3 linked regions of the Cricetulus griseus genome follow. The protein of the gene in region 2 purifies or fractionates together with the protein of the main gene of each other region. This does not show direct contact. Links are inferred from orthologs where the notes say so. Each region holds a gene or a part of one and is shown on either strand. Other genes may lie near its edges.

Region 1 (7,852 bases), on a different chromosome or scaffold from region 2:
CTCTGCCTCCTGAGTGCTGGGGTTAAATGCATGCGCCACCACCTTCTCTAATACCTATTTTCTTTTCTTTTTTTTTTTTTTTTTTTTGGTTTTTCGAGACAGGTTTTTCTCTGTGTAGCTTTGGAGCCTATCCTGGAACTCGCTTTTGTAGACCAGGCTGGTCTCGAACTCACAGAGATCCACCTGCTTCTGCTGGGATTAAAGGCGTGCATCACCAACACCCAGCTATACTTCTTTTCTTAAGTCTTTCCTCTTGCACATCTCCACATCTCTACCTAGCATTTTGTCTTTTTTTGGTCCACCCAAATCCACTTTCTCTTCTGGGTGCTCTGGTTTTCTTCTGATCTTGTTTCTCCCCACCCCCTTCTACAGATTACGTCTATTTTGAGAACTCCTCTAGCAATCCTTACCTGGTTAGACGGATTGAGGAGCTAAACAAGGTGAGTGGAGCAGAAATGGAGCAGTTTCTTTCTTCTGGAGTCTAACTCCAAGTGGAAGGGAGAGCCAGCCTTACCTAGGCTTAGAGCCTATACAGGTGAGCGAGCGTTCATTCCATGTATAGAGCTGCTGAGAGCTTAGCTGAAGCTTTATCATTCTCACATCTGGGGATAAAAGAATCCTGTCTCTGTTGTTTTTTTTTTGTTTTTTTAAATATACAGTGTCTATTTTGCAGCCTTGGTTGCCTGGAACTTTCTGTGTGATCAGGTTAGCAAACTTATGGAGACCCATCTCATTGGTCCTGTAATTATCTTTGAATATTAAGTCTTCATTGCTGAGTTTTTGGCCTCTTCTACTTAAGTCCTTAGAGAGTGCCTGTTAGTGTACCTCCACTTTCAAATGGCTAATTTTCATTGCCCTGTTTTTCTTCCTTCTTTAGACTGCCAATGGCAATGTGGAAGCAAAGGTTGTCTGTCTCTTCAGGAGAAGGGATATTTCTAGTAGCCTCAACAGCCTGGCTGACAGTAATGCTAGTGAGTGTCTTCATTCCTTCCCCTTTCCCCCCTCCCCAGGATCTGAGGACTAGACTTGTTCCTGCAGGTGTTTCCCCTGGTAACACGCCCAAGGCAGGGTATGAGTTTGGAGGTGGGAAGTGCCTGGTCTGCAGAGCAAGGCCTGTTGTTACATGTTGGGGCTGGGGCTGGAAGCCGGGTGGGGAGACCATGATCAGAAAAGCCAGAATGTGGTGTGTGTGTGTGTGTGTGTGTGTGTGTGTGTGTGTGTGTGTGTGTGTGTGTGTGTGTGTGTGTAAGGAGAGATACTTAGATAGGGAATGAAAAGAGCTTTAGAGAAGGCACGTGGGGACATTTTGGGTACTTTGGGACAGTGGTTAGTGAGCGATGGTCAAGGTGGAGAGGAAGATACTGTTTTGAGAATCCTGCATAGTAATGGGGGAGGCTTATCCTGTCGTCTGGAGGTGAAGCCAAAACATTGACGAAGCTGACGGAAGCTAGAGGGCAGGAAAGCGCTTGAGCTTTCCTGTTTCCCTCTCTATTCCAGTTATCATCTGCCTTACTTCATCTTCTCATTTTTCCCATTTAACTACTTTGCCTCTTTTTTTCCCTAAAGTTTTCTTTTTTCAGGCCACAGCCATGAAAGAGTTAATGAGCTGGGCCTACCAAGTTTCCTGGCCCTTTGGGGTTTCTAGCCCCATCTGGCAGGGGCTGACCTTGGCTTTGTCCAATCAGAATGGGTAGGGGGTGTGGTCCTCCTTGCCCTCCCCTGGGTTTTCTAGAGCACACCAGGGAGAGGTGGAGCCTACTACACAGACACAGGACCTCCCCCACCTCCCCACTTGCTGTGGTACACCCAGTTCTTCAGGGGAACAATGCACCAATGAACAAGTGCTTAAGTTTCTATCCCGCCCACTTTGTTTGGCACTTAGCCAGGTTAACTGTTTCCACCAAGATTTCAGTGCAAGCTGCTGCCTCTTGAGGAAGGTGTTGGCTCTGGTTTGAGAGGTGCTTTTCTTGAAAGCCCCACAGACTATTATTAACCAAGTAGAAAGAGAAGGAGAAGTCAGTTGCATGTGATATTCAGGTACAGCAAAGAGTCCTGAAGCATGAAGAGGAGCTGATAAATAAATCCTGTGTGCTGTTCTTACATCTTAGCTGGATTCTAGGACGTCAGGCTGGTTCAGCAAGAAAGAGCTAAATGTAACATACAGTATTGTGGCTATATTTGTGTGTTAGAGCGGCATCAGCATTGGCAACTAGGTTTGGGGCGCATTTCTATGGCATCCTTATGCAGGTCTCCCCTTCATGGAATTAAAGAGAGGACTGAGCATCCACAGTGAGGCGTGAGGCCAAAAGGGAAAGCTGGGCGAGTGAGGGTGAGATGCCCGAGGGAACTGAGACAGCAGCTGAGGTAGGGTGTTCTTTAGCTGAGCTAGTTAGCCACCTCGGAGTACCTTGTTTCTGACTTGTTCCTTCCTCTAGGGGAGTTTGAGGAGGAATCAAAGCAGCCGGGGGTCTCAGAGCAGCAGAGACATCAACTGAAACACCGAGAGCTCTTTCTTTCTCGGCAGTTTGAATCATTACCTGCCACCCACATAAGGTATAGGAGGGTCTGGGTCCCTGTGGCCTTTGTATGTGCCCTTGTTTAGAAATGGAGAGAAGCGGGTGTTGTGTTGGGGATGGTAGAAGGTATGTCTTGCTCATTCAGTACTTTCTGGCCTGTCTTAGGGGGAAGTGCAGTGTAACTCTTTTGAATGAGACAGATATCTTGAACCAGTATCTGGAAAAGGAGGTAAGGACATCCTGAGAGAAGAGGGCTGGGCTTCACTGCCATGTGGGCTCCTGTCCACAACTTCTCTCTCTCCATTTTTAGGACTGCTTTTTTTACTCACTGGTGTTTGACCCGGTGCAGAAGACACTTCTAGCTGATCAAGGGGAGATCAGAGTTGGTTGCAAATTCCAAGCTGAGATTCCAGATCGCTTGACAGAAGGTAAGCAACAGAGTAGATGTGCTGGAACGTAAATTTCTGTGGATCTCGTGACTTGGGGTTTCTGTACAATCTTAGATTTTCTGTTGTGACCTTGCCAGAATGGGACTTAGGAGCCTGAAAGAGAGGAATGGGCACAGCTGGGAGGGGAATTCGGAGGCTTGATGTGGCTGATGGAAGAAGCAGGTGGATCTGAGTTTGTGGCCAGCCTGGTCTACAGTAAGTTCCAGAATAGCCAAGGCTACACAGAGAAACCATGTCTTGGGGAAAAAACCAACAACAAAGGAAAAAAAAAAAAAGAATCCAAGCAGAGAAGAGGAAGAAGTTATTGTGAGTGACTAAGATTATCAGTTATTTCCCCCTCTCTCCCTCACTGGTGATGCTGTCTGCTTGGTTCCTCAGGTGAATCAGATAATCGAAACCAACAGAAGATGGAGATGAAAGTCTGGGACCCAGACAACCCTCTCACAGACCGGCAGATTGACCAGTTTCTAGTGGTGGCCCGGTGAGGGTGGGTGGATCCCGAAGATGGGCTGGGGAGGAGTGAGCCCTGTTCTGAGGCCCATCTGTTTTTTTTTTTCTCTTTAGTTCCTGAGGCTGCTTGAACTTTTTTCTTCCCTTCTTGACTTGTCAATCTCTCCTTAGAGCTGTGGGAACCTTTGCAAGAGCCCTAGACTGCAGCAGCTCCATTCGGCAGCCGAGCTTGCACATGAGTGCAGCTGCTGCATCCCGGGATATCACCCTGGTAAGCACAAGTTGTTGGGCATATCGGGGCAGGAGAGGAGGGAGTCATGGAGACAGTAGGTATACTCAAAGAGCAGCAAGTCATCAGTTTTCTTTTCTATTTGGTAGTTCCATGCCATGGACACATTGCAAAAGAATGGCTATGACTTGGCCAAGGCCATGTCAACCCTGGTGCCACAGGGGGGCCCAGTGCTGTGTCGAGATGAGATGGAGGAGTGGTCCGCTTCTGAAGCCATGCTATTTGAAGAGGCTCTAGAGAAGTACGGGAAGGATTTCAATGATATCCGCCAGGACTTTGTAAGTGAATAGGACTAGAAGCGGTGAGAACAGGGAGTCAGGACCTAGGGCCAGATGCCATCTCAACCTCTGTTTGCTGTTCTTAGCTACCCTGGAAGTCACTTGCAAGCATAGTCCAGTTTTATTACATGTGGAAAACCACAGATCGGTATATTCAGCAGGTATGGTTTAGGGCCGGGAGGTTGGACAGAGGCCCCCTACTAACCTCTCTGCCTTTTGGTTTGTTTGATTTCATCTGTACTGAGATGGTCTGAATTTCTGTTTTTTTCCTTCTAACAGAAAAGATTGAAAGCTGCTGAAGCAGACAGCAAACTGAAACAGGTCTACATCCCCACCTAGTAAGTGTGGCAGGAAGGGAGAGTGTTTCTCTTCCTCTCCTAGTTTGTTTCTTTCTTAGTGATTGGGGATGAGCAGGAGGCAGAAGCAAATTGTAGAAGCTGTAGTTCAGTGATAAGCATGGGCTTACTGTCGGCAAGGTCCTAGTTTAATTCCCAGCATTCCAGAGAGAGTGATGGGGTAGGGTGCGGTGGGGTGGTAGGAAAGGGAGGGACAGATAGAAGTGAGTTATTTCTTTGACTAGCTTCTATGTTCTCTTGTTTCCTTCATTAGTACTAAGCCAAACCCTAACCAGATCATTTCTGTGGGTTCAAAACCTGGCATGAATGGGGCTGGATTCCAGAAGGGCCTTACTTGTGAGAGCTGCCACAGTGAGTTTCAAAGAGGGACAGGGATGCTGGGGTGGGTGGCCTAGGATGGCCTGTTTCTCTGGCCTAGAAATTTGAGGAGCTCGGGTGGCATGTTTTCTGCTAGCATGTTTCTGTTCTCTATGTTCCTGTAGCTACACAGTCTGCCCAGTGGTATGCCTGGGGCCCACCTAACATGCAGTGTCGTCTTTGTGCTTCCTGCTGGATTTACTGGAAGAAGTATGGGGGACTGAAGACCCCAACCCAGCTTGAAGGAGCAGCTCGGGGCACTACAGTAAGACTTAATCACTTGGTGGGAGCTGGGTGTGGTGGCTGGGGCAGGTGGGTCTCTGTGAGTTTGAGGCCAGTCTGGTATTTATAGTAAGCTCCAGATTAGTCAGGGCTACATAGTAGACACCGTCTCAACCAATAGAAAAGAATCACTGCAAAAAGAGGTAGGGGACGGGGAGAGTGGTAGACATACAGACAGATATGAGCTTTAGGCAAAGGTTAGAAACCTGACTCCTTAATATGGAGACAGTCATATGGACAGAGGCACTTGCTAAGGGTTGAGAAGCCAGGAAAGTTGGGTGGAGTGCTAGTGTAGAGTTCAGGCAGAATAGTTTGCTGTCTTCAGGAAATGGAGGAAAGGAGTGACTTGCCATTTCCCTTTTTCATATGTCATTCCTCCAGGAGCCACACTCAAGAGGTCATTTATCCAGACCTGAAGCCCAAAGTCTCTCACCCTATACAACCAGCGCTAACCGGGCCAAGTTGCTGGCTAAGAACAGGCAAACTTTCTTGCTCCAGACCACAAAGCTGACTCGTCTTGCTAGACGGATGTGCAGAGACCTGTTACAGCCAAGGAGGGCTGCCCGAAGACCCTATGCACCTATCAATGCCAATGCCATCAAGGCAGAGTGTAAGCACTGGAGTGGTAGTAGTGATGAGTACTAAGTTGCTCTGGCTAGAGACTGTTGTTTAATGATAGTAGGCCACAGAGGGTGTTTATTAGATAAGGTTTAACTTTTGGCCCTAGAAGAGGCCGGAGAAGTGAAGTTCCTTCAGAAATTTTGATCTGTCATGTCTGGTGGTTCATGCCTTGGAGGCTGTAGATATAACTACCTAGTTCCTATCAGACTGGTCTAGGTAGTGAGCTCCAGATCAGCCTGGATTACATAGGACCCTGACTCAAGTAGGGTAGGCATTCTAATACATGCCCATAACTCAAGTATTGGAGAAGCAGAGTCTAGGCTGGCCAGGGCTATATATACAGCAAGACCATTTCAAAAAGCCAGAACAAATCTGCAGAATATCCAGAGGCTTTCATCTTTCTCCAGGCTCTATCCGACTTCCTAAGGCTGCCAAGACGCCACTGAAAATTCACCCTCCGGTGCGGCTGCCCTTGGCAACTATCGTCAAAGATCTGGGTATGGGATGGAAACCACACTTGATCCAGGGTGGGTTGAAGGTGGAGAAACAGTTTGGGTGGTGTCAGGCTGCTAGCCGTTTTACTATCCAAGAGCCATTTCTTCCCCTGAGTTTTCCTTTCCCCCTGAGTCCAAACTGTGTGTGTGTGTGTGTATGTATTCTTTTTTTTCCTTTTTGGTGGTGGTGTTTTCGATCAAAACCCAGAACTCATATTCTGGGCAAGTGTTTTACTATTGAGGCCCATTTTTGGCATAGCAGTGACTTTTCATAAGTATTTTATGATCTGGAAACATAATCAAATGTTGTTTTTGAAATATGTGTTAAGTAGCTTGTAGGCCTTTTCCTCCATTACTACTGGTCTGATGACCAAGGGAAATTGCTGGGCCAGGGTAAAGAGGGAAGAAAGAATGGTAAGGAAAACTGTACAGGCAAGAGAAGGTGTGAACGTTTTCTATTCCTCCCCCCCTTCACTGTTAGTGGCCCAGGCACCTCTGAAACCAAAAACACCTCGGGGCACCAAGACACCAATCAACAGGAACCAGCTGACCCAGAACCGAGGCCTGGGGGGCATTATGGTGAAACGTTCTTATGAAACTGTGAGTTGGGAAAGCTGAATGGGGTGGGCTTTTGTTTCTGATAGGAGTCTGAGGGAGGCAGCGCTTTCATTATGTTGCCCTATCCTTTTCCAGATGGCAGGGGCAGGGGTCCCCTTCTCTGCCAATGGAAGGCCTCTGGCCTCAGGGATTCGTTCAAGCTCACAGCCAGCAGCCAAGCGTCAGAAACTAAACCCTGCTGATGCTCCCAATCCTGTGGTATTTGTGGCTACAAAAGATACCAGGTAGGGAGCAGTCTACTATGGGAGGGGCTCAGAGACTGATAATCCAAGTTGGGTGCATTGGAAGTAGGGGTATCTGAGAAAGATAGCACAGAAAAGAGTGCGGGTGTCAAAATTGTAGAGTGTACTGTGGAGCCCCTACTTGTTCCTCTTTTGCTCTTTTTGACCAGGGCTTTAAGGAAGGCTCTAACTCACCTGGAAATGCGCCGAGCTGCCCGAAGGCCCAACCTACCCTTGAAGGTGAAGCCAACACTGATGGCAGTTCGGCCCCCAGTTCCTCTGCCAGCACCCTCACATCCTGCCAGCACCAATGAGCCCATTGTTCTGGAGGATTGAGCATCTTAGGGGAGGGAGATGGGATGAGAGGTAGAGGGGTAGGTGCCCAAGGCATACAAACCTCAAGGATCGAGGGAGGGTTGAAACTGGTGTGTCCTTGGAGGACTTGGACACCCTCTGGGGTGATTGCCAGTAACTCCCCCTTTTTGGGCTTCTCCATGCCTGTGATGGGAGCCTACAGGAACTTGCCTGTGTGTCTACCTACCCTATTTGGGGGTTGGGACCCACAGTTGTTTTGGACAGCTGGGCTGGGGGGGGGGAGGGTTTTTTAAATTTTTTAAAAATTTTACCTCCCTTTGTAAAAGGGATGGAGGAGGGGAAGAGTAAACATGTCAGGTGGTGGTACCTGGCAGGGGGAAGGGAGAGTGCACTGCCATGTCTACCTTTTTTTTTTTCTCTTTATTTTCTAATTGGGGGTTTCTCTTACTGTCCGGTGTCCGGACTTTGCTAATTAGTTTGAGGGCTCTAAGGTGGCATCCAACCCCAGCCCATGCTCGCTCTTTCTTCCCTCCCCTTCCCCCCTCTGCCTTTTATATGCCAATTCTCAGAAATAAAGATCTTTTTGTCCGTTTTTTAACCTCGATT
Region 2 (8,547 bases):
AACAACATTCTGCTTCCATGTATATCTGTACACCAGCACCAGATCTCATAATGGATGGTTGTGAGCCACCATGTGGTTACTGGGAATTGAACTCAGGACCTCTGGAAGAGCAGTCAGTGCTCTTAACCTCTGAGCCATCTCTCCGTTTTTGTTTGTTTGTTTGTTTTAGATTTATTTATTATGTATACTGTGTTCTGCCTGCATGTCAGCCTGCAGGCCAGAAGAGGGCACCAGATCTCATTACAGATGTTTGAAAGCCACCATGTGGTTGCTGGGAATTGAACTCAGGACCTCTGGAAGAGCAACCAGTGCTCTTAACCTCTGAGCCATCTCTCCAGCCCAAAATGTTTTTTTAAAGTGGGAACCCTCCTTAGCCTCAGAAATACAAATTAAATCTACTTTGAGATTTCATCTTAGCCCTGTCAGAATGGCTTAAGATTAAGAAAACAGCCAGGCGGTGGAGGTCCATGCCTTTAATCCCAGCACTCGGGAGGCAGAGGCAGGAGGATCTCTGTGAGTTAGAGACCAGCCTGGTCTACAAGAGCTAGTTCCAGGACAGCCAAAGTCTCCAAAGCCACAGAGAAACACTGTCTCAAAAAACAAACAAACAATTCAGAAAACAAAAATCACCCGATGCAGAAAAGAATGTGGGGACCTCATGCACTGTTGGGGAGAGTGTAAACTGGTGCAGCCACTGTGGAAATCATTGTGGAGGGTTCTCAAAAAAGTCAGAAATAGACCTATGGTGGAGAACAGTGCAGTTGGAGGAGTAGTGGAGTCTGGAGATGAAATCCGAGGACAGGATCACTCCTTTGGTCTGAGGTAGAAGAGCAAATGGCTGGAATCTTTGCTTCTCTGATCTTCAGACAAACTTTATTAAGTCATAACAAAATGTCACCACAATGAGCCAGATATATCACTCCTGGGCATATACCCCAAGGACTCTGTTCTCTGCCATAGGGACATGTTTACCCATGTTCATTTTGCTTCTAGGACGTGGAAACAGACCAAATATTCATCACCTGATGAGAGAGACGACGAAAATGTTGTGCCTATATATAATGGGATTTTATTCAGCTGTAAAGAAAAATGAACTCAAGAAATTTGCAGGTACAACGATGGAGCTGGAAAGTGTTATCCTGAGTAAAGTAACCCAGACCCAGAAAGACAAATACTGTTAGGTTCTCACTCACATGTGTATCTTAGCATCAGATCTTTAGATCTGTGAATTTAATTTGGGGTCCTGAGGATTTTAACTTACATTTGCTTTCTTTTTAAATTAATACTGTTTTGTGATAGTTAGCCACAAATAATTTCAGAGCCAGAGCAAATTCCAGCATTAGGTGGCTTCATATCGGTGGGAACAGAATCATGATAAAAGCCACAGATAGAGCTGAGCAATTTGTTAAACTGTAGGTCAAACTGAAATTCAGGTGCTGCTTTAATGTATGCAGTACTGGCCCAGTATGGTATAGCAATTACTTCTCTGTTGTGATGAACACCGTGACCAAAAGCAACTGGCATGTTACCATCTATCATCAAGGGAAGCCAAGACAAAAACTGAAGCAGAGACCACAGAAAAGTACTGCTTATGGGCTTGCCTCCCCTAGCATCCTCAACTACCTTTCTTTTTCAAGACAGGGTTCCTCTGAGTAACAGTCCAGACTGTCCTGAAACAGTCCAGGACTAGAACTCACAGAGATCCTGTCTCTGCCTCTCACGAGCTGGGATTAAAGACATGCGCTGCCACTTTGGCTTTGGCTTCAGCTGTCTTTCTACACAGCCCAGGCCCACTTCCACATGGATGGTACCACCCACGGTAACCTGGGCCCTCCCACATCAAACAACAACCAAGAAAATGCCCCACAGAAATGCCCATAGACCAATCCGATGGAGGTGATTCCTCACCCAAGAGTCCTTCTTTCTGGGTGCGTCTATGACTGTCAGTGTCAGGCTGAATAATCTTAGCACCAACACTTAAGAATTTAGGAAGAGCAAAGCTGAGCATGTCATTTGTTAGTCAGAGGGTTGGGCTTCAGTCTGCATTAAGGGTAGTAACTGTAGAAGGTCTTTCTTGGGCTGGGGCTGGAGTTTAGTTGTGGGTTCACTTAGCATCCACAAAACTCTGGGTTCAGTTCTAGGCACTACAATAAAAAGTAACTCACTCACCATAGGGCAAGAACCACAGCGGGAGTATGAACTAGAGTATCATCTACTTGTCTGTAAACAGAGTCTCCAGGCATTAATTAGTTAAGTAGACTTTTAGCACCAGAGAGGAGATGAAGCTACTCTGTAGGAGAATAATTCAAATTATTTTATAATTATTTCTATCAAATAAAATGAAAAATCAATCAAAGGCAATGAACTGAAGAAGAGTCGGGTGTGAGCATCTTCATCAGAAACAATAGACAAGTGAAACAAGACTTACTAAACATAGCCTAACAATCACTGTCCTTGCTAGGTTTACTGAGAAAAAAATCAAACTTCTAAATTTTGTCAGTGGATTGGAAAATTGGTGACATTTAAGATCTGGGGGAAAAAACATAGGAATTATAAGACTAAGAAGTGTAACAAAACCCAAAAAACTATGGGTGAATTTTAGAGCAGAGTGGGCACACCTAAATAGAGAATGTATGACTAAGTGTAGGTTAAAAGAATCCAATGGAAATTTAAAACAAAACATAGCCACTGAAGATAAGGTAGGAAACACAAAGAGTACAGTAGGAGGCCTAACATATACTGAATTGGAGTCCCAGAGATGGAAGAAATGGCATGGGAAGGCATGAGAGCCTAGAATTTTCTAGTATTTGATTAAATATATTAACTTATAACTTAACAAGTACGAGAGAAAAATGACCATTTTAAATAATAAAAATGTATTCACCAATTTTCACGGCTGTATGAGAGTAGAAATTCACAGATAACACGGGCAGCTTTGAGTTTCTCCGTGAATCTGTCCTAAATCTGTTAGTAAATCGACTAAGTCTAAAACGGCTTTCTTTCAAAACTCCTCTACCTGAAATACATTATTTTCCTTTAATCATTGGGATAGCTAAACAGTCCAATAATTAGCATGACCACGCCCATCCTCCCACCCCTCCCACCGCAGGCTCAGGCAGGAATACACGCCTACGCGAGCACAAACACGTACCCAGGCGCGCTCCCGCGCTCCCGCACCCACCCACCCGCGACACATACAAGCATACATGTACGCATGTGTATGACTCAAGAAACGAGGTTTTTCTCTCCTCGTCCCCTACGGCCAGCGCTGCCAAGTTTCCGAGCAGTCCTGCAGACCTGGTGGCAGTGGGGATCCTTTAAAGGTTCTTAAACCCCTCCCCTCTCGGATCCGTTTGCGCGGAAGTCCAGGGCAGCAGAGGCAAGCAGCAGTCCGGCGCCTGTCAACCGGTTGGCACACGGGAAGTACACTGCGGCGTGGAGATGGAGATGCAGGACCCAGCGCCTAACGAATGCCAGATCGCCCGAGTGTTTTCCATAAAGAAGAAACAGCCCACAAACTTTTTCTCACTTATTCCCTAGTACCCCACCGCATACACGCACTGTTTATGTTTCTTCCCAGGAGTCGGCTGGCCGTCTGAACACTAACTTTACGAAATAACAGGAGCTAAAAACAGCCCTTGCTCGTAGGAGATAAAAGAGGCGAGAAAATACAGTAAAGCCTGACCTCATACTCGGATTTGCCCGGTGCTTGGAATGGAAAAAAGAAAAAAACCTCACGGGTGGCTGGCCGCGCGGTGTATGCTGGGATTAGTAGTTCGTCCAGCACGTAATCAGAACGGAGCGCAAGTGGGCTCCGCGACCGAGAACTACTATTCCCGTGGGGCCGCGCGGCGGTGGAGGGGCGGGGCCGGAGGAGGGGCGTCTCACTCGCGCAGGTCCCGGGGCTGGAAGGAGGCGGTGGAGCCGCGGTCCAACTGCTGAAGTCTCCATGTGACAGTGAGTGGGGTCCCCTTTTTAGGAGCCACTCCACTCCCGATCACAGTCCCAGGAACCCGCCGCTATTCCAGCGCCCACAGACCGACAGGCCCGGGACTCTGGGCGTCGGACCGTGCCGCCGCCACACTTGGGGTGCGGAGTGAACGGCCGCCCCGGGGAAGGAGGCGGAGCGGCGCGGCGAGCGGGGCTCTGTGGCGGCGCCGGCGCCCCCGAGCTGGCAGACATGAACGGCTTCACTCCGGAGGAGATGAGCCGCAGCGGGGACGCGGCCGCAGCCGTGGCCGCGGTGGTCGCTGCTGCAGCTGCCGCCGCTTCGGCGGGGAACGGGAACGCGGCTGGCGGTGGGGCAGAGGTACCCGGTGCTGGTGCGGTATCGGCTGCTGGTCCCCCCGGAGCAGCCGGTCCGGGCCTCGGGCAACTCTGTTGTCTGCGGGAGGACGGCGAGCGGTGCGGGCGCGCGGCTGGCAACGCCAGCTTCAGCAAGAGGATCCAGAAGAGCATCTCGCAGAAGAAGGTGAAGATCGAGCTGGACAAGAGTGTAAGTGGCAGTGGGACCGCCCTGCCCAGCCCTTGCCCTACCCTGCTTGCCCAGCCCGGTCCTTGGCGGAGGCTCACGAGTCGTCGGGACCGGGCTGCAGGTGGGATTAGTGGGTTCTCCGACTGAAACAAAGTCGCTGCAACTCTGGCCACCTCCCCCGGCGCGCCCTGGCGCAGTGGTGCAGGTCCCCTCCGCCCCTACCCCGACTCCGGCCGCCTCGCGTCTCTCCCACTCCAGGCTTCCCTCTTCCTCCTTTGCTGCGATCTGGAAACGAAACAAAGGGAACCAACCGCGTTACCGAGAGCCCAGAGTAGTTTTCTTGTAGCCGGGCAGCCCCTTCTCTGGAATGGAGGCGCCTTTGTTTTGCTGCCCGAGCCAGCGTCTGACCCCAGGGAGTAGCTCCGCTCCTTTAGGGAAAGTCGAGTCTGGCAGGAACCCACGTCGCAGAGAAGGGAAATCTCCCCCCTGCATTCCCCTCGATATTGTTTCTCTTGAACACGCAGAGGGAAGCCGAACTCACCAGTGCCTTACTGGGAGGTGGTTGTAAACGGTGTTTGCGGTGTCAGCTCTTCGTGCAGCTGCTCCGAACCGAGGCTGCAAATAATCCTCAGTGGTTTTACAGCCCACTTGGCAGCCATCGGGATTTTTTTTCCCGTCTTTATGCACGTTTGCTCTTTGGGCCAGCTATGAGGTTTCAGAGAGATCCTTTGCTACTTTCCAGAGCTCTGGCTGGTGGCAAATGAAGAAGAGGATACAGAGCCTCCACACATCTGTATATTTTTTAACTTGCTCTTAGCTTAGTAGTCAATTTAAAAGGCCCTTAATTGTGTAGCCTTAAAGGGGGGAGGGGGAGACTGTCAATCAGCTCAGTATTTCCAATCGCTCATTATGTAACTCTCAAATGCCTGTGTAATTGTTTGAAAAGTTTGTGTTTCTGTTTAAGCCGTTTTTCAGTAGGACCCATGAGAAATGTTGCAAGTGAATGTGAATAATTTCTGTGTTCTTTAATTGAAAGCAACACAGTACAGATAAATACATTCATTTAATTCTTACAAAGAAATGTTAGTACTTGAAATTTAAACATAGGATATGAATTCAATAGCGCATTTGTAAAAATGCCTAGTTAGTATCTGTGTGGAATTTGACTAATTAGTAAGATTAGGAAGCATATACCTAACATTAGGAGCATTAATATGATTTGCTGCTCTCAGATTAGAGAAAATTATCACCTCTTCCCTTGTACCTTCAAAATCAACGGGAGCTAATTTATTTAGGTCATCCTCAATGCAATTTGATGACAAACCCCAGAGGGTTGGAATTTCTCTTCCTCTGTCTGCCTGCCTTCTCCCATGGTACCACTCTCCTTCCCCTCCCCTCTCCCACAAACAGTATTGCCAGACTGCTAATGTTAGAGTCAGGTAACCGGTTTGGAAAGGAACGTTACATTGTCTTAACAGTGGCCCGCTTAGACTGTTCAGTCATTCATCTGGGCCTATGTGTTTTACTAACACAGAGATGCATTGTTCTGTATTCACTGTCTATGAAACTTTGTTTCAGGCAAGACATCTTTATATTTGTGATTATCATAAAAACTTAATTCAGAGTGTTCGAAACAGAAGAAAGAGGAAAGGGAGTGATGATGATGGAGGAGACTCACCTGTTCAGGACATCGATACTCCAGAGGTAGAGCAAAGTTTTATTATGTTAAATGTAAATCATAAGCATGCTGGCAATTCCAAAGCCTTTATGTAAATATTTGAATTAAGTTTTAAATGTTTAAAGCATCTGACAAATCTCAAAATTAAATACAATCAGTTAACATGTATTTATACTAGCCGGGTGGTTGGGTGGTGGTGGTGGTGGTGCAGGTGCATGCCTTTAAACCCAGCATTCGGGAGGCAGAGGCAGGCGAATCTCTGTGAGTTCCAGGCCAGCCTGGTCTACAAAGCTACACAGAGAAACCCTGTCTCGAAAAACCAAAAATAAATAAGTAAATAGAATAAAACATGCATTTATACTACTATTAAATCTCAGGTGACAGTTCTTGTAGCCCTTGACCTATAACTTCCTTTTTTTTTTTCCTCTAAAAGCTTACACTATGTATCCCCAAAAGGTGAAACTAATAAACTCTAGATCTGACTGTGGAAAAGAAATTGTTCTTGTGCTGAAGTGGACATTGCCCTTTGCTTTACAGATCAGTGATATCTTTTCAGCAGAGTGAACTATGTTACATCTTAATTTTTTTTTTCTAGGTTGATTTGTACCAATTACAAGTAAATACACTTAGAAGATACAAAAGACACTTCAAGCTTCCAACCAGACCAGGCCTTAATAAAGCACAACTTGTTGAGGTATGTATAATTTTTATACGGTATAAACAAACCTGTTCACACCAACAAGGGTTGTGATTAAATGATGATGAAATAGGTAAATGTCTAATGTCTAAGAAAGTCAGAGTTAATGGGTCTATCATGGTGTGCATATAGTGGTTTAGAAACAACTGTCTGTCACCTAGAAAATCCACTTACAGCATTTTTTAATAGGGATTTCTCAGAGTAAGTATTTAGTGAGTTTTTAATCACTTCAGAAATCTGTTTTAGGTTTCTAATTATTCAATGTCTGTTTATTGAACACCTAATTGAGGCATAACAAATAAATAAGCTTACAAGCATTTATCAGAATTTAGTTTTCAAAGCTTCTCTGGGATAGGCCTACAGATGAACCCTGAAGCAGTACTTCCTAACTTTCTAGTTTTACTTTCAGGTTGTCTTTGTTAGTAGTTGTTGTTTTTAAGTAGAAGATGCTTTCTTTACATCGAGAGAGAGCAAAGATTTTATCCAAGCTTTTACTTAAAGTTTATTTTGTATAGGACTTTGGTTCCTTCAGAGTGCTTTGGAAATTAGCTGTGTGTGTGTGTGTGTGTGTGTGTGTGTGTGTGTGTGTGTGTTTTCAAGAAGTAATAGAGCCACAAAATCTGTGCACTTTAAAGTATTTACAGATTTAAATAATTAGACTTTATATGTAAAATAAACTTTTCCACTAAATAGACAGGACAGAAATCTCTCTCTCTCTCTCTGTGTGTGTGTGTGTGTGTGTGTGTGTGTGTGTGTGTGTGTTTACATGAGTTTTCTCATATTCTTGGGTTTGACTTGAGTAGTTAGCCTACATTTCTAATGTGCATATTAAATAAAAGATAAATACAAGTTGCAATTCTTTGTAGAAAGTTCTTTTACATTATTAAAATTCAATATGCTAACTAGCCAAATTTTCTCCTCTATTTTTTGCCTAGACAAAAATATAATTTTTCTTCAAATTTTATTTAAAGATCTAGTCCTTTTACCATGGCACAGTACATAAACATAAAGATGTTCCCTACTATGATGAAATATACTAGACATTAATGAAGTATGGTCGCCCCTGTTTTGTAACAGAGAGGAGCCAAGAACTGATGCAAACGTTGTATGATATAACATCATATAGTTTATAACTCAAATCTCAACTTTAAAGTCTGGTCTTCTAAAAACAGTTGAATTAGTACAGAGTTATTTTCTGTTCTAGAAAAACAGGCCATCTTCTGGAATCGGAGTGCACACATTAGCAGCTCAGTTTCTTATTCGTGTTGGTAGCTCAGTGTGCATGTTTGGTTTGTGCTGTGAAAAGACAGGGAAGCAGTCTTCTTGAGCGTCTTTCTAGCTCCTTTAATTTTCTTAAATCTTACTCAGAAAATTTTGCTGAAACTTAGGGAGAATGAATATCAATTGCACCAAAATTGTATATGATATCATAGTTTGTTACCAAGGGTTTTTGTTGTTTTGTTTACATTAATCTTTTCCTGTGAATGCAGTCGACATGCACGTTGGCTCTTTTGTTTTATGTCATTGATATTTAATGTTTAAGAATATGTACTTTATAAGTTGTTAAGTTTAAAGGGAAAAATACTTATAACCAGTGGACCAAAGCAAGTAAAATACTTAGAATTAGAGCATATGAATTGAGTAGACTAAAGGGTCCTTTGAAATCAGACTGTCCTTTGTTGATAATATTTTGTTTTT
Region 3 (7,878 bases), on a different chromosome or scaffold from region 2:
CTCCTGTAAATTTCAAAGTACAGAACTTGGCTATTGTACTTTACAGTGAGAATGTTCAATTTTAATATGAGTGTTGAAATTGAGTGTTTAATTTTATAAATATTAAATTTGGATCTATTATTTAATTTTCAAGAATTTGTAGCAGTTATTAGCAATACTCAGTTCCTACTCTTAGTCATCTTTTCTGTTTGATCCCTACTGCTAGACTGTAAATACAGAACAATTTTTTCATCTCAGTGTTTTCATGAATAACCTAAAATAAACCTGATTATTTTGAAGTTTTTCTTTTTGCATTTTCTGGTATTCTTTCTCAGTTAAACATTTAATAATATTAATAATAATAATAGGCATTTGATGTTTCTTTAAAATAGAATGAATATTGTTACTAATAAGTTGTTCATAATACATTATAGCTAATATCTAATGCTTTACTTACCTAGAATAAATTAGACAAAGAAAAAGACAAAGATGAAAAATACTCTCCAAAGAACTGTAAACTTCGACGTTTGTCAAAACCACCGTTTCAGTCAAATCCATCTCCTGAGATGGTTTCAAAACTAGACCTTGCTGATGCCAAAAACTCCGATACAGCTCATATTAAATCTATAGAAATTACTTCCATTCTTAATGGACTACAAGGTAAATATAACTGTTGCATGCAAGTATTTGATTTTAATTTCTATAAATATTTAAATGAATTTAAATGTGGTTGTGCATGACTGTAATTCCAGTACTCAGAGCTGAGGCAGGGGGATTGAGAGTTGAGGCTAACCTGAGTAATAAATCAAGAGAGTGTCTCAAAAAAATCCACGTATTCCTACCTCCTGCCACCCAGAAAAAATTCCAAAAGTTAAATTCTATAAAAGTAGTTCAGGTTGGTTTTTTGACCAGAATTTGCTGTGTGTGTTATTAGTTGGGCACCTCCAGTGTTGGGTTTCTCTACTTCTTGTCAAACACTGTCCTTTGTGATGCTGTCTAAAACATAGTTGTGCTGTGTATTAAGACTGTAAAGCAATTCTGAAAGTTATTTGTGAAGAACTCATCTGCTTGTTTGTTCTTTTTATGATGCTGTTATGGTAGCACACATGGTAATAGTGAAGCAAATAGTAACAGAGAACTGGGCTGGAGAGATGACTTTGTAGTTAAAAGCACTTGTTGCTCTGGCATAGTCCTGAGTTCAATCTCCAGCCCCCACATGACACCTCATTAACCATCTAGCTCCAGAGTGGAGGGGATCTGACACCCTCTTCTGAACTCCACGGGCATCAGGCAAACGTTTGGTGTGTGTACACACACATACATCCAGGCTAAACATTCATCCATATAAAATACTAAATAAACTATATCTAAAAAGCTTTGAGAATTGGAGATTATTAAATCTGGCATGAAAATGTATTGGAACAGGGATCTGATCTACAAAGTAAATTAATTCCTTTCCCTAAAAATATTTTAAACTGCTCATAACTTAAGTTTTGGTTTTTATTACTTTTGACTATAATAGAAATTAGATTTTCTCCTTTATTTCAGAAGACTGTATATGGATTCATTATATAAGCCTGCTACTATATACTATTCTAAAGTTTGCCTTAAAAGTTTTCTAATGTATCTGACATGTAGACTACTATATGAAAAAATATAGTTTAAAGAACAAGAATTAGACAACTTTAGTCACGAGCAGGTAGCAGTTAATTAGGTGTGCCTCCTCAGGAGTTATTACTACCTTAACTTTATGTAACATTTTTTTAAAAAGTAGGATTTAATTATTTATGAGTATACTCCTAAATAAGATATTGTTTATTTTAAAAACAATAGTGAACATTTAATGTAAGCCTCAATTTATGAGAAAGCTTAGGTTGAGGTTGCCTTTAATGCTGTTGGGGCCAAATGTAGTGCACACCTTTAATTCCAGTACTCAGGAGGCAGAGGCAGGCAGTCTCTTGAGAGTTTCTGGCCAGCCTGGTCTACAGAGTGAGTTCTTGGCCAGCTGAAGCTACACAGAGACTTGTCTGATCAGATTCTCTAGGTTATATTCTGATTTCAGAGTGTGCTTTATTAGAGAAAGATTTGTTGTAATACCTTCTTTGGAGAGGTAGGTGGTTCATTCTAGAATGATTAGCTGGCTAGAAGGCAGAGGAAGTGGGTCTTCACTGCACATAGTGAGTTCCAGGATAGCCAGGAGTACATAGAGAGACCCTATCTTGCCCCTACCTGCATTCCGTCCTCCTACCCCCACCCCAATATTGGGAATGGGAGGGCAATCTTGAGGAAGAATTATCTTGAGGAAAAATGTTGTTTTTGACTTGGCTGGATAGAAAGAATCAAGAGCTGTTCTCTAATATAGGTTTTGGATTTTTTGTTGTTGTTGTTGTTAAATTGAGGATTTCCTTGTCCTGAATACTCAGTAAAAATATTTTTTAAGGATTTATTTTATGTGTGTGTGTGTGTTTTGCCTGCATGTATGTATTTGTACCAAGTACCTGGTACTTACAGAGGTCAAAACATTGGTTGGACCCCTTGGAATCGATGTTAGAGATGGTTTTGAGCCACCGTGTGCATGCTGGGGGACTTAGGTCCTTTACAAAAGCAACAAATACTTTTAATTGCTGAACCATCTCTGCAGCCCTCCATAGTCTCATTTTGATGACAATGTTTTCTAGTACTTTAAGAGCAAGTACAAGAAAATGGCAAATTTCCTAGTTGTATTCACTTGAAAAAGTTTCTGTTCTAGTTACAGGTTTTTTGTTTTGTTTTTGTTTTGTTTTTTTTTTTTTTAAGTCTGTTTTTCACTAGTTTACCAAATGCTACAGCCTGGATAGAACACAAAAAGAAAAGGATTTTTATTTCTTGCATTGAGGGCATTGAGCAGCCCTCTGTGGTGAGAGCATCACAACAGTGGTAAGTCATGCAATAGCTAATCCACTACTGTGAAAAGGACATCAGTCTGTTCATGACATAGGCACTTCTTAAAGTTCCCACTTTGCCAGTATTGTCATAGTGTCAGTTAAGTTTCAGCTTCAGTTTTGAAGAAGACATTTAAATCCTAGCATCTAGGATAGAAGTTTTTCTTTCCATTTTTGTTTGTTTGAGGCAGACATAAACAATAGTCTTACTAGGCTTATTACTCCCCACCCTCTTATTTTTTAGCTTCTGAAAGTTCTGCTGAAGAAAGTGAGCAGGAAGACGAGAGGGGTGCTCAGGACGTAGACAACAGTGGCAGAGACGAATCAAAGGTAGACCATTTGACCCACACCAGAAACGAGCTTATTTCAAAAGAGGAACAGAGTAGTCCATCTTTGCTAGAAGAAAACAAAGTCCACACAGATTTGGTAATAGCTAAAACAAAATCTCCAGAACGATTAAGAAAAGATGTGGAAGGATTATCAGAAGATACTGATTTTGAAGAAGATGATGAAATCACAAAAAAGAGAAAGGATGTTAAGAAAGACACAACAGATAAATCTTTAAAGCCACAAACAAAACGAGGAAAAAGAAGATATTGTAATACAGAAGAATGCTTGCAGACTGGATCCCCTGGAAAGAAGGAAGACAGAACCAAGAGCAAAGAGCTGCTTTGCACAGAAAACAGTAGTAATAGCTCCTCAGATGAAGATGAAGAAGAAAAGTCCAAAGCAAAGATGACACCAACCAAGAAATATAATGGCTTGGAGGAAAAGAGAAAATCCCTACGGACAACTAGTTTCTATTCAGGATTTTCAGAAGTAGCAGAAAAAAGGATAAAACTTCTAAATAACTCTGATGAAAGACTTCAGAATAGCAGGGCTAAAGATAGAAAAGACGTCTGGTCAAGTATTCAGGGACAGTGGCCTAAGAAGACACTAAAAGAGCTTTTCTCTGACTCTGACACTGAGGCTGCAGCTTCTCCACCCCATCCTGCCCCAGATGAGGGGGCAGTAGAGGAGTCACTGCAGACTGTGACGGAAGAGGAGAGTTGTTCACCCATTGTAGAGCTAGAGAAGCCACTGCCAGCCAGTGTGGACAATAAATCAGTTGAAGAAAAACCTCTAGAGGTTAGTGACAGAAAAACAGAATTTCCGAGCAGTGGCAGTAATTCTGTACTTAATACCCCGCCTACTACACCGGAGTCGCCTTCATCAGTCACTGTGACAGAAGCTAGTCAGCAGCAGTCTTCTGTCACAGTGTCAGAGCCCCTGGCTCCAAACCAGGAGGAGGTTCGAAGTATCAAGAGTGAAACTGACAGCACAATTGAGGTGGACAGTGTTGTGGGGGAGCTCCAGGACCTCCAGTCAGAGGGAAATAGCTCACCAGCAGGCTTCGATGCAAGTGTGAGCTCCAGCAGTAGCAATCAACCAGAACCAGAACACCCAGAAAAAGGTGAGGTTGAAAAGTACATGCTGACCACTTGTAGGATGTCCCCCTAAATGCCTTGGTAGTTGCACTGTGTCTTTTAATGTGAGGCGGTTAAGTGATGTGCTTGTATGAACACAGTGAAAATGGACAGTAGGAAGGTAATTTAAATAATGATAATGGAATGCATTTGAGAGCCTTTAATGTCCTTTTCCTGAACCATCAATAACATTTCAAGTGGATTTGAGACCACATGCTACAACTTGCATGTAGGCCCAGAGCTAAAGATAATGAAATTCATTCTATATGTTGGTTGACTATATATATGAGCCACTTAACTGTATTTCTATAACACTGTGTTTACAGTTATAACGTGCAGTCTCTCACAAACATTTTGATTTGTTGACAGACCCCTCCACCCTTAACCAAATACTGTAAATAGGGGTTTGGAGCAACCAACTGTCCAGGCACTGCTTCCCTCAGACAACCGTGTCAAACTGATTTGCAAGCCTGACTTACTTGTGTGAGTTTGTAAAGGAATTTGATGCTTTATTAGATGTATAGCTTCCAAATTGAAGGACCAATGTGTATGTTAACAATACTCTACATTAATATTCTTGATTTTCCTAGAAGTTGTTCAGAGTGGAAAATCAAATCAGTGCTTTGTCAACGTATTAATGTCTCCTCATAGCACCATAGTTGTATTCTGCCGTTATTTTTTTTATAAACTGCTTTGATCAGGTGCCTTAAATCAGTTAAAGCCAGAACTTGGTTTTGTATGTACATACCTAGTGTAAAAATAGAGCACTGGAGGGCATGTGTTTTGAGTAGCAAGAGAGTAGTGAAGTAGTTAGAGGGTCTTAGTTGACCATAAAGAGATACGGTAACCTATCCATGTTGTAATCCCAGCACTTGGGAGTCTGAGGGATGAGGCTGTAGTATTCCAAGGTCAACCTGAGCTGCAGAGTGAGTTCCTGGCTAGGGGTGTTGCATAGGGATAGCCTTTCTCAAATAACTAAAAGATACCCAGTAAATCACTAATAGTAGTTATTGGGGATTTACAATTCTAGCTATACCGTGATACTGCTCCATGGAGTTATATTCATGAAGAAAGGGATCTTCAAAGGGAAAGAATGCCAGGCCTTCAACAGTGTTGTATTAGAATTTCAGCTCTTGAGAGATTATATCCTCTTCATGGTCTTCATCTCCTAAGAAAAATATAAAATCAACCAGAAAGAGTTTGATATATTCTCTAGATTCAGTCAGTGCTGCCCTTTTGAATATTAAACTTGATTAGATTAAAAGTATGGAGCCGGGTGGTGGTGCACACTTTTAATCCCAGCACTCAGGAGGGCAGAGGCAGGCAGATCTCAGTTTCGAGGCTAGGATGGTGCACAGAACAACTTCCAGGACAGCCTGTGCTACATAGAGAAACCCTGTCTTGTGGGGGGGGGGGTGGAAATATGGAAGGAACTTGGACTGGCAAGAAATTCTTTGGGTAAAGCCTGATGACTCAGATTTATCCCTAGAACCCACTTGGTTGAAAGAGTGAATCGACTGACAAAGTTGTCCTCTTACCTACACACATGCACATTTTTCTCCTTTTTTTTATATTTTTATTATTTATTTATATGTACTTGTATATGTGGGCATGTGACTGGAGAGGACAGAGGGATGTCAGATCCTCTGAAGCTGGAGTTAAAGGCAGTTGTGAGCAGCCAGATGTGGGTGCTGGTAATCAAATCAGGTCTTCTACAAGAATGGTATGTGGTCTTAACCACTGAGCCATCATTCTAACCCCCTCCCCACCTCTCCCCTTTTCGTAATAGCTTAGTGGTTAAGAGTGCATACCACTTTTGCAGAGGACCAGAATTCAGTTCCCAGCACCCACATCATATGGTTTACAACCTCCTGTATGTTACTCCAATTCCAGGGGATTTGACTCCCATCTTCTGGCCTCCATTCACACGCTCATACTCACACATATAACTGAAAATAAATTTTATTTATTTATTTTAGCTTACATGTTTTTTTAATTTAAATTTTATTTTTAAAAAAGTATGAAACTGGAGGCCATCTGCTTTACGAAATCAAAGCAGTATTTAGTTTTTTTGGGAATTCATATCTCAATAAACTCTTAGGCACCTATCATACAACTTCATTTTAATTAAAATATCCAGTAAAAATATGAAATTTCATACAATACATAGCCTGTTACAGTTTTCAACCAAGAAAATTGTGTTTTGTAAACTGTGGATTAATTTTACAGTTGATAACAAAGGTAGCAAGAAACACTTTTGACTGGCATAATTGTATTATAAGAATAATTTATATGATGTGTTATAGTCTTAGAAGCAAGTGTATATACCTCTTTAGTCTCTGGGCTTTAAAACAAAAGCTTATTTTAGGTAGTCTAAGAGATTGTGTATAATTCAAAAGACATAGAAGCATAACATGGGCTAAAGACCTCCCAAGTAGTGTACAGAAATGCTGCAGTTTGGAGTAGGTGAATCTGTGAACCTGAGCACCAGGGAAGTTCTTATTCAAGATAAACACTTGATCTAGTTCAAGAAAGGGGCCATTTCACCCAAAGAGATGAGTTTGTAAGTTGTTTGCATAATAGCTTGCCAATTCCCTAGAAGTAAATTGACATAAAACAAGCATGAATTACCGCCAAAATGTATCCAGTTTTAATATATTAAAAAGCACCATGTTTCAGGTCTGTAATTGCAGCACTGGAGAGGTGGTAGCAAAACCAGGAATTCAATGTAATCTTCAGCTTTATAGGAAGTTGGAGACCAGTCTAAGCCTACGTGACTTCTTTTCTTACTTTCTCTCCTATCACATCATTCGGAATTACATGACTTTGCTAACACTTTGTTTTGTAACAGAACCTTAACACTTTAGTTTTATTGAATCTTAACAAATTTCAGCATATTCTTAGGTTTAAGTTACTAGACCCAGAAACTGTGCTGACAACATTTTCAGTCTTGATTTTCTTAAGAAGAATGTGCCTTGACTTTCTGAAAGAAGCCCTTAATTTTAAGAGGTAGCTGAGCTTCATTAATGACAGTTAATTAAAATGTGGGAATATTTTCTGTGGTAATTTATATAAATCTTATAAAAATTTATAGTTTGGGGATTGCTTTCTAAAATATTTAAATAGTCAGCTAGGGAATGTCTGATTCTGTTTTGTGTTACTGGATTGGTTGGGCAGCTTAGTTGTAGAGCAGTGCCCTAGCATCTGTGAAGCTCTAGTTCAGTCCCCAGTCCTACCAGAATAAAAGTGAGATTCTATTCTGTATTACTTAATTTATTTCTCATCACAGCCTGTACAGGTCAGAAAAGAGTGAAAGATGCTCAGGGAGGAGGAAGTTCATCAAAAAAGCAGAAACGAAGCCATAAAGCCACCGTGGTGAACAACAAAAAGAAGGGAAAAGGAAGTAAGTGTGAAATTTGCTTCGAAGCTTCAAGATATAAAAATAATAGTTGACCCCCTCCATTAAAAGGTTATTTGGTTATGGGATAATTCTACATTTTGATTTTTTTTCC

Evidence for each region. The genes of interacting proteins can lie anywhere in the genome.
Region 1: the proteins of Sap30 (region 2) and Mta2 purify together in Homo sapiens (affinity purification with mass spectrometry; 3 studies listed by BioGRID, with this or other methods). This does not show direct contact. The link is inferred for Cricetulus griseus from reciprocal best matches to the Homo sapiens genes SAP30 and MTA2.
Region 3: the proteins of Sap30 (region 2) and Arid4b purify together in Homo sapiens (affinity purification with mass spectrometry; 5 studies listed by BioGRID and IntAct, with this or other methods). This does not show direct contact. The link is inferred for Cricetulus griseus from reciprocal best matches to the Homo sapiens genes SAP30 and ARID4B.

What each region holds. Positions count from the first base shown.
Region 1 is NC_048596.1:51,145,397-51,153,248, reverse strand, and holds the end of Mta2 (metastasis-associated protein MTA2), read left to right. Parts: intron 1-372; coding exon 373-440; intron 441-877; coding exon 878-971; intron 972-2,435; coding exon 2,436-2,553; intron 2,554-2,681; coding exon 2,682-2,745; intron 2,746-2,826; coding exon 2,827-2,944; intron 2,945-3,343; coding exon 3,344-3,446; intron 3,447-3,586; coding exon 3,587-3,686; intron 3,687-3,793; coding exon 3,794-3,982; intron 3,983-4,068; coding exon 4,069-4,143; intron 4,144-4,261; coding exon 4,262-4,320; intron 4,321-4,591; coding exon 4,592-4,689; intron 4,690-4,820; coding exon 4,821-4,960; intron 4,961-5,358; coding exon 5,359-5,587; intron 5,588-6,005; coding exon 6,006-6,095; intron 6,096-6,573; coding exon 6,574-6,692; intron 6,693-6,785; coding exon 6,786-6,934; intron 6,935-7,096; coding exon of another isoform or gene 7,097-7,101; coding exon 7,102-7,267; 3' UTR 7,268-7,850; downstream 7,851-7,852. UniProt on the Homo sapiens protein: May function as a transcriptional coregulator. Acts as a component of the histone deacetylase NuRD complex which participates in the remodeling of chromatin.
Region 2 is NW_023276806.1:235,755,640-235,764,186, reverse strand, and holds the start of Sap30 (histone deacetylase complex subunit SAP30), read left to right. Parts: upstream 1-3,880; 5' UTR 3,881-4,180; coding exon 4,181-4,495; intron 4,496-6,052; coding exon 6,053-6,178; intron 6,179-6,747; coding exon 6,748-6,846; intron 6,847-8,547. UniProt on the Homo sapiens protein: Involved in the functional recruitment of the Sin3-histone deacetylase complex (HDAC) to a specific subset of N-CoR corepressor complexes. Capable of transcription repression by N-CoR.
Region 3 is NC_048596.1:237,304,234-237,312,111, forward strand, and holds part of Arid4b (AT-rich interactive domain-containing protein 4B), read left to right. Parts: intron 1-440; coding exon 441-639; intron 640-3,144; coding exon 3,145-4,353; intron 4,354-7,655; coding exon 7,656-7,769; intron 7,770-7,878. UniProt on the Homo sapiens protein: Acts as a transcriptional repressor. May function in the assembly and/or enzymatic activity of the Sin3A corepressor complex or in mediating interactions between the complex and other regulatory complexes.